Linked DNA regions of Caenorhabditis elegans. The protein of the gene in region 1 interacts with the protein of each later gene in a pairwise test. Each region holds a gene or a part of one and is shown on either strand. Other genes may lie near its edges.

Region 1 (3,156 bases):
ATACCTACACTCAATCTTGAACCACTCTTCCCACCGCTCATCTCATAGTTGATCAACACTTGGTGCGCTAAAAATAAGATGAAAAAACACAAAAAATAGGAAAAATAAATTTGGAGTTTGAAAAATCCGTTTTGGCGGCCGAGGGACTAGAATTCATATTTCGGTCGTCTGTCAGTAGAGCGCAACTGTTCAGTTATCGGTTTTCTCTGCGTCTCTCGTTTCGTAATGTGTTCAAACTCAACGCGCTCTCCAGGTCTGCACAATTTTTCTTTTTATTCCTTTTTGGAGTTTTCCATTTATTTTAAACGTTTCCGATTAAAAATACATAAAATTATTGATTACAGGATAAGGAAACTTCGGAGAAAGCCATCGTATGTCGTTCGTCCCATCAGAAGTTCGACTTGATCACACATTTTTAGAGTGGGACAAAGAGTGGATATTCCAGCGTCTGCCAAAGGTTTGTGACAAGCTTTTCGAATAATTAAAGTGTAAAACCCGTAAGTATTGAAATTAAAATTATTCATTTTTAGACCGAGATTCAAATTCCGCGCGAGTTTGAGCCAGATATCGAAACCGACGCAATTCCCACCATTGCTCGTCAGCCCGCCGACCCAAACACTACCTGGAACGAGACTGGTTTGGATCAAATTCAAATGGGACCAACCATCAATAGTACAAAAAATTAAATCAAGGTTTGTGAAAGTTGATGTAATTTTTTAACTTCTTACACAAATTTTCAGATGGGAAACGAACAAAGCTCGTCAACAGCGGGCACATCATCTAATCCTCAAAATCAACAGTCGTCTTTTTCATTTCTCACTCGAGCCAGTACTAAACGATCAAAAGGCATTATCACGGTCAAAGATGGCAATATTCCTCAAGAAAAACTCGAAGATGATGAAATTTACAAAAGATTCACCGAAATTCCCCGTTTTTTGCCGGTGATTCCAGCCGTAATAGGCAAACGAGATCCACAAACGAATCAAGGAGCTTCTTACACTCATCAAAAAATCAGTTCGCGGCCCTTTTTTCGGTAAGATTTATTCCTTTTATTCAAAGTTTTAAAGTCACATATTCAGACTAGCAACACGATTACAAGAACATTTTGCCGTTAATGCGAAAGCAGTGGCAGCAGATCAAGCTAAAATTCCAGCAACTTGCAAGAGTGTTGAAGCGAAAATGATCAGACTTATTGAAGAAACAAGAGCTCATAAAGAACAACATGACGGTTTTATGGCTGCATTGAGCGGACTTAATCAATTGCACGATGACATCTGTAGTATTCAGGTGCGAATTAGAAAAAGAAACAATATTTAATGCATCATACCAAAATTGATTTTTAAAATGTTGCACCTTACATTTTTGCTCAAAAAACTTGCTCCGTTTATCAAAAATTAATTTTCAGATAATTCTTGAAGATATTGTGCCAATGGTTGAAACGCTTAATGAAATTCTAACTCCCGACGAACGTCTTCCTCCTCTTAATCTTGGCTCAGTGCTCGACAGATCTCCCGTTCCAAGCAGTGATAGCTCACTTCAAAGTACGCCCCGCCATAATCAAAATATTGGTCATATTGATCAAATTGAGCCGATTGAAGAAATCCGCGTAGTTGATCTACCAAAATAATTAATTTGTAAATTTTTATTCTCTTCTTGAATCTGTTGCCCTATCGCCCTTCCCAAAAAGTCTTGAAGGCTTTATCTCACTTTCTTCTCGCAATATCAAAATTCCATTGCCGTTTTGTGATTTTTTATTTAGTTCATGCACATATTTATCCGTCAATCCTATTTTGATTTCTAAATTTATCATAAATTCTAGTATTTTTCGCAAATTAATCTAATTAATTTACTTTGAATCTAACTTATATGGTTTGTGCCTTTTTCATATTTCCATTTCTTGTAATTAATTGCATCATTAATTAATTTTTAGATCACCAGCAATGAATGCGAGCTCCAGAACCAAACCTGCAATCGATTTGAACAAGGTAATATCTTAAAATCTCATCATAAAACTTTAAAGCTAAATTTTTTAAGGTTCCTCCGATCGATCATCACCGTACAGCAGTAACATTCAACTGTCTCATCATGAAAATGACAGAAATGCTCAATAATTTCGGAAATAAAATGGAAGACATTTTGGAAAAGGCAGAGCAGAGTTTAGACACTGCCGATCGAAAGTTACGCTTGATGGAATCGAAATTGGCAGGAATGAGTTTGGAGGATAAATCAACCACCGCCACACCATCATCAGCACCAGAAATAGACGAAATTCACGAATCGAATCCCAGCTCTTCACAAATCGTGGAGGAAACAGTGGAAGAGAAACCAGAAGAACATACTACGACGGTTCTTATCAAAGACGACCCGGCTTATAGTAAATATTTCAAAATGCTGAAATTGGTGAGTTTATCCACTTGAAATTGCTTTAATAATACTGTAATTTTTTTTAGGGAGTGCTTGAAGCTGGTGTAATACAGAAAATGAAATCCGAAGGCGTCGACCCATCAATTTTGAAACGCGGTGATGAACCATCTCGTCCACAGGCACAGACTTCACGGAATTATGAATCTTCTGGAGAATCTACGGCATCCTTCTCTGACTCTGATTAATTTATTTTTTGTATATTTTTACGGGTTCATAAAATGTATAAAACATTATTTTTTAATTTTCGGAATATGATGTACTACACTGTTAACTCGTTTTAACGATTATGATATACTTCTATTCATTTTTTTAAAATTGATATAATATACATACTAATTTCCCTTTCAGACAAAATGAAATCACATTCAAATGTAACTACGCCACAAGCAGAACTTGTGAGCCCAGCCATGGGTGAACTACTCAAAAATGCCATCATGAAATCTGTAAGTTATTAAATTAATATCACATGGAAACTTTATTTGAAATTTAGGCTCCTGTCGCTCTTGCACTTATGAAAGGTGAACGTCCTGGGAAGAAAAAGAAAAATAAAAGGGAAAAACAAGGTGAGCGACCGTTCGAATAAATGATTAGACTATCGGCAGTTTTTCAGAAGATGACGTGGAAGTTACACCAAAGTCGAAAGAGAAACGTCGGAAAAGCGAGAAGAAGGAAAAACCTCCAATTTTGAATTATTTGGACGATTCAGATTCTGATTCGGCAGATTTTTCATCA
Region 2 (6,435 bases), on another chromosome or scaffold:
TGAAATGACCAATTTTGCCTACGGAATTCTATTTTGATTTAAAAAAAAACGACTTATATGGGCATGTAATTGATTAAAAATTAAATTCGGCTCTTTTTCCGATATATTTAGTGAGTTTTTTGCTAGAAATTCGGTATTTTCAAGCAAATTTTTGTTGATGTCCACTAATTCCAAGAAATAAATTCAAAAGTTTCAAAAAAAAAGCTAAACTTAGCTAAAATCTCTGATTTTTATCTCTGGTTTACGTATTTTTGTCGTTTTCTCCGCGGTAAAAATGGGAAACCCTAAAATTAATGGCAAAAGTATTTAAAAATGCGCAAATTTGTGCTAAAAAATGGTCTTTTTTTTAAGTCTCACATAAATTGCCTAAATTTCTGATTTTTTGGAATAAATGTCCAAATTTCAATTAATGCTATTCAAAAATATCTTAAAATGAAATAAATTGAACTTTAAACACCAATTTTGAGATTTCGGGCCTTTTTAGATTTTGTGTGCCTTTGGATCGCGATAAAACAAAAAAAAAACGAACAATTTTTTGCTTTAAATGATAGAAAATAAACCCTAATAACCGAATATAACTGCAAAAAAATTTTTAAAAATTTTCTAAATTTTTTAATGATTTTTTCAATTTTTCAAAAATCAAATAAATGAGCGAATTAAATTTGAATTCCCGCGCAAATGGCGCGAATTTACAGTTTTTTCTTGATTTTTTCTTTTAAATTTGATTTAAGACAACATTTTTCAATTTATCAGACACTTTTCCGTGAAGAAAACTTGATTTATGCATTTTTTCCGGAAAAATGTATGTATTGGTATGTATTAATACATACAAGAAATGGTATGTATTAAATCAAATTTAAAAGAAAAACTGTGAATTTAGCCATTTGCGTGGGTATTCAATTTTTAAAAATTTGAAAAAATCATAAAAAATTTAGAAAATTTTTAAACAGTTATATTCGGTTATTAGGGTCTATTTTCTTTCATTTATAGCAAAAAAATCGAAAAATTCCGAATTTTTGTGAATTTTTATCCAGAAATTCGATATTTTAATTCAAATTCCAAGGAATAAATGCAAATTGCTGATTAATTCCCGAATAAATAATCAATGATCACATCCAGCCTATCATAAAAGTGTAATGTGTCCCCAGCTGTCCCCAGATGCCCCATCAAAATGGATTCCGAATTATTCAATGTACTATCAAATGCATTGGACAGAGAGCTCATCCTCGGAGCTCCTCCTCTCCCGGCTCCACTGATCTCAAGAAACATATCGAAGAGAGAGTGTAGAGATCCCAGAGAGAGCACACCAATTGCACTTGGGCTCCGCGAGCAGAGAGAGAGAGTTTCTCCGGAAATCCTTTCAACCCACACACAGAGAGAGACTCCAGAGCACCTCTGTTCACTAGCCATCCCTCCTACAATTATCCCAATATTTCACACATTTTGTGGCAATTTTTTGGGTTTTATTCCCGATCTAGAGTATTTCTAGTATTTAAGACATGTATCAAACAAATTTCAAGCCGAGGTACGTAGATTTCTATCCGAAATACTTGGTTTTTACTAAGAAAAGTTTCTCAAAAAACGGAAAAATGACCGGAAATTTGAATTTTTATCGAAAAAAAAATTTGAAAATTGTCGATTTTTGGTCTTTGGTAGCTTATCTGGGAACAGTTGCTCACTTGATTTTCAAACTTTCGTTCAAAGTTGATTGTTGACAGCGTTTGCAACAAATCAAGTATTTGGCTGTAATATTTTGGCACATTGGGAATTTTGAAAAAAATTTGCCGCTTCGAAACTGATTACCGCATTTTTGGCCCGAAAATCGCAAACTTTTGCGTCTAAAATCGGCAAACTGTCGGAATTGAAATTTTCGACAAGTTGCCGGTATTGCCGAATTTGCCGGAAAAAACGGCAAAATTTCCGGCAAATCATCAAAATTGACAATGCCGGCAAATCGGCAAGTTTCCGGAATTGAAATTTCCGGAAAATCAGCAAATTGCCAGAAAATCGGCACATTGCCGGAATCAAAATTTCCGGCAAATCACCGGTATTGCCGAGTTTGCCGAAAAACGGCAAATTACCGGTATTGCCGAGTTTGCCGAAAAAACGGAAACTTTCCGGAATCGAAATTTCCGGCAAATTACCTCTATTGCCGAGTTTGCCGGTAAATCGTCAAATTGCCAGAATTAAAATTTCCGGCAAATCAGCAGATTACCGGAATTGAAATTGAAACAGAAAAATTCTAAAAATTGCCTTAAAATGTGTCTAGAACAGCGAAAAACATCCAAAAACGTGCGAAATTTGGTTGGAAAAATCGATTTTTCTAATGAACTGGCCAGTTTTTGGTATAAAAAACCGGATTTTAAACTGAAAAAGGCGATTTTTGACCTCAAAAACGAATAAAATCCCGATTTTCTTCTGTTTTCCCTCACTTTTTCCATCCAAAAACCCTAATATTTTAATATAATAATTTCAGATACCGCGTGCTAGTTCGTAAAATGCAGCCAACAGGGAATCAAATACAACAAAACCAGCAACAACAGCAACAACTGATAATGCGTGTTCCGAAACAAGAAGTTTCAGTTTCTGGAGCAGCACGTCGTTATGTTCAACAGGCTCCACCGAATCGACCACCACGGCAGAATCATCAAAATGGGGCAATTGGTGGCAAAAAGTCATCGGTTACTATACAAGAAGTTCCGAATAATGCGTATTTGGAGACCTTGGTAGGGAAAAACCGCAAAAAAATGGCTGAAATTTGAAGAAAATAGCCCAAAAATTGAAGGAATTAGCTCGAAAGCCCCTTCTTACGCACTTAAAATTTGTTTTTGAGCGAAAAATTTTAATTATTTGTTGAAAAACCTCAGAAAATGCCTGAAAATTCATGCAAATTACCCTAAAAATGGCTAAAATTCGCTCAAAAACTCATTTTTGCTTTCTTTTTGTACATTTTGCGAAAAAATTCAATTTTTGTGTAAGCAAATCGCCTAAATTGCTCATTTTTTACACAAAAACGTACTGAAAATTCATCAAAAATGACGAAAATTAGCTTAAAATCATAATTTGAAGTAATTTCTATTGAAAATTGAGTTTTACGCCAAAAATTCCGAATTTTTGCTGAAAACCCCCCAAAAAATGGCGAAAAATTAGCTCAAAAGCCTAATTTTTGCTCAGTTTGAGCGAAAAAAAGTACTGAAAACCCCAAAATTCGGTCTAGAACTTCCTGAAAATTCTGAAATTTGGCTGAAAATCTTAATTTTTAGCAATTTCTATTAAAATTTGATTTTTGCCCGAAAAATTCTAAAATTGGGCACAAAAGCCCCCGTTTTTGCCCATTTTGAGCGAAAATTTCAATTTTTTGTTGGGAAATTGCAAAAATTGCTCATTTTTCGATGAAAACTTTCTGAAAAGCTCAAATTTCCGCCTGAAAATTCCTCAAAAATGGCGAAATTCAGCTGATTTATCACGCATATTGTACAGTGCGTGCAACTTCTATAGCGCCCCCTATTTTTTTCGTGTTCCGTCACTTTCCCTAACTTTTTTGAGAAAACCATTATAGCCATTCGATTTCAAATGTCAAAAAACCCCCTGTCCGAAATTTTCATGAAAAAATATCAAAGACTACGGTAATTAGGTCAAAAAGTCTGAAAAACGACCGTGGAACTTCTATAGCGCTCCCTCCAATTTTCGCTATTTTTCAATAAAATACCGAGTTTTATGAGATTTCTGAAAAGGATATAGTATTATATATTGAGAAAAATGATCATAAGGCCTCATTTTTCAAAACTAATTACCGTAGTCTTTGATATTTTTTCATGAAAATTTCGGACAGGGGGTTTTTTGACATTTGAAATCGAATGGCTATAATGGTTTTCTCAAAAAAGTTAGGGAAAGTGACGGAACACGAAAAAAATAGGGGGCGCTATAGAAGTTGCACGCACTGTATTAAAATCTACGTGAATCAGCAAAAAATCCCTGAAATTAGTTGAAAAAGTCGATTTTTCAGCTGATTTTTCTAGTGAATTAGCTAAAATTTTCTAGAAAATTGATGATTTTTAGAAGAATTCTTCCGCAGAAAATTTCAAATTTAGCGGCAAAATTCTGAAAATTGCCGAAAAAAAAAAACCAATTTCACTGAAAATGTACCTAAAACAGCGAAAAAACATCAAAAAATTTGCGAAATTAGTTGAAAAAATTGAAATTTTTGAGAAAATCAATATTATCTCACTCTAAATTTATCGAAAAAATCAATTTTCGCCGGATTTTTCTAGTGAATTGGCTCAAATTTTTCAAAAATTCAGTAGTAAAACGTATTTTTTTACAGAACAAATCCGGAAACAACAAAGTTGACGACGACAAGCTTCCAGTATTTCTGATAAAATTGTGGAATATCGTAGAAGATCCAAATCTTCAATCAATTGTTCATTGGGATGATTCTGGTGCAAGCTTTCATATTTCTGATCCATATTTATTTGGGAGAAATGTTTTGCCGCATTTTTTCAAGCATAACAATATGAATAGCATGGTCAGACAGTTGAATATGTGTAAGTTTCCGAGAAAAAACGGAAAAAAATTCATAAAAAAACTGAACTTTTTAAAATTTTTCACAAAAATCTGACGTAATTAGTTTAGAAAATATCGAAAAATGAATATTTCTGGGAAAAATATCATGAAAATTGACATTTTTGCTGATACTTTCAATTTTTCAGCAAAACTTAACGTAATTAATTTTAAAAAATCCGAAAAATTAATATTTCTGTAAAAAATTGAGATTTCCCTATACAAACCCAAGAAATTACAACTTTTTGGTGTTCTTTTCAATTTTTCCACCAAAACTTAACGTTATTAATTCAAAAAGTATCGAAAAATGGGTTTTTTCTGTTAAAAAAAAGCATACAAATTGTGTTTTTTTTTTGCAGAAATATCCATTTTTTAAAAATGTTTTTGGAATTAAATAAGTCAAATTTTGGTGGAAACATTTAAAAATATCACCAAAAAGTTGTAATTTCTGGGGTTTTTATGGGAAAATTTTTAATTTGTATGAATTTTTACACGGAGATACCCATTTTTCGATATTTTTGAAATTAATTACATTGAAACTTGCTGAAAAGGTTAAAAATATCATTAAAAAGTTGTAAATGTGAGGCATTTTTTTCAACAAAAATACAAATTTTTGCACATTTCGAATTTAATTTTTAAATTTAAATTTATTTCAGACGGCTTCCGAAAGATGACTCCACTGTCCCAAGGTGGTCTAACTCGAACAGAATCAGATCAGGATCATTTAGAGTTTAGTCATCCGTGTTTTGTACAAGGACGTCCCGAATTACTATCACAGATTAAGAGAAAGGTACAGGAAGCGGCAGAAGCTCAGATTTTTCAAATTTCTATCATTTTTTCATCTGCAGATATTGCAAAAATTCACTGGTTTTTGCTTAAAATTTGAGTACTTTTTGCGAAATTTCGCTTTTTCTACACTAAATTTGCGAAAAAGTAGAATAAAGATGATAATTTTTGAAAAAAATTCCAAACTTTTAAATTTTAACTTATTTTTTTGCAGCAATCGGCAAGAACTGTGGAGGACAAGCAGGTTAACGAACAGACGCAACAAAATTTGGAAGTAGTAATGGCAGAGATGCGTGCGATGCGAGAAAAGGCAAAGAATATGGAGGATAAGATGAATAAGCTTACAAAGTTCGTGGAAATTTAAGAAATGGAGAAAAAAAGAGCAATTTCGTCCGGAATTTCAGTTTGAAAACTGAGTAATCGGCTTATTCCACCCTAAAATGATTGAAAAAAGCTCAAAAATCGTCCGAAAAGTGGAAAATTGAGCGAAAAAAAACGATTTTTCTTTGTAAATCCCATAAAAGTGCAAAAAAAACACACACTTTTGTTTGGATTTTTCAATTCAAATGGAATATATTCTGTTCTGAAAATTCTGAAAAGCACCTTTTTGACACGAAAATTGCTCAAAATTTTGCGGTTTTCGAGCGACTTGCATCGAATTTTTGCCAATTAAACAATTTTTTGTTAAATATAAAATATTTGAGACGAAAGGAACAATTTTATATAATAATTCCATTTTTGCAGAGAAAATCGCGATATGTGGACACAAATGGGCTCAATGCGTCAACAACATGCTCGCCAACAGCAATATTTCAAAAAACTTTTGCATTTTCTCGTCTCTGTCATGCAGCCAGGATTGTCGAAGCGTGTCGCGAAACGGTAATCAATCTGTCGTGTTTCGGGCAGAAAAATCCCAAAAACTGTTTAAATTTATCGCAAATTTCTCGAAATGGCTAAAATTAGCTTAAAACTCACATTTTGCATTTTTTTTTTTTGCACATTTTGAGCGAAAATTGTTAATTTTTTATTGGAAAATCGCAAAAATAGCCTATTTCCTCAAAAAAAAAGGCAAAGCTCAGCTGATGATAT

Evidence for each region. Proteins that work in one complex are often made in the same cells at the same time.
Region 2: the proteins of ddl-1 (region 1) and hsf-1 interact in binary tests that used the Caenorhabditis elegans proteins (3 or more experiments, as listed by UniProt).

Annotation. Positions count from the first base shown.
Region 1 is NC_003280.10:5,646,659-5,649,814, reverse strand, and holds ddl-1 (WASH complex subunit homolog 3), read left to right. Parts: upstream 1-1,930; 5' UTR 1,931-1,940; coding exon 1,941-1,985; intron 1,986-2,034; coding exon 2,035-2,400; intron 2,401-2,450; coding exon 2,451-2,609; 3' UTR 2,610-2,656; downstream 2,657-3,156. Other genes in the region: putative serine/threonine-protein kinase zyg-1, read right to left, coding at 9-41; F59E12.17 (Anaphase-promoting complex subunit 13), read left to right, coding at 374-457, 531-686; sam-4 (BLOC-1-related complex subunit 5), read left to right, coding at 741-1,033, 1,080-1,287, 1,406-1,627; F59E12.9 (TFIIS central domain-containing protein), read left to right, coding at 2,778-2,867, 2,915-2,987, 3,035-3,156. UniProt on the Caenorhabditis elegans protein: Acts as a component of the WASH core complex that functions as a nucleation-promoting factor (NPF) at the surface of endosomes, where it recruits and activates the Arp2/3 complex to induce actin polymerization, playing a key role in the fission of tubules that serve as transport intermediates during endosome sorting.
Region 2 is NC_003279.8:11,958,026-11,964,460, reverse strand, and holds the start of hsf-1 (Heat shock transcription factor hsf-1), read left to right. Parts: upstream 1-2,476; 5' UTR 2,477-2,498; coding exon 2,499-2,726; intron 2,727-4,324; coding exon 4,325-4,544; intron 4,545-5,216; coding exon 5,217-5,350; intron 5,351-5,560; coding exon 5,561-5,694; intron 5,695-6,090; coding exon 6,091-6,225; intron 6,226-6,435. UniProt on the Caenorhabditis elegans protein: Functions as a stress-inducible and DNA-binding transcription factor, playing a central role in the transcriptional activation of the heat shock response (HSR), leading to the expression of a large class of molecular chaperones, heat shock proteins (HSPs), that protect cells from cellular insult damage.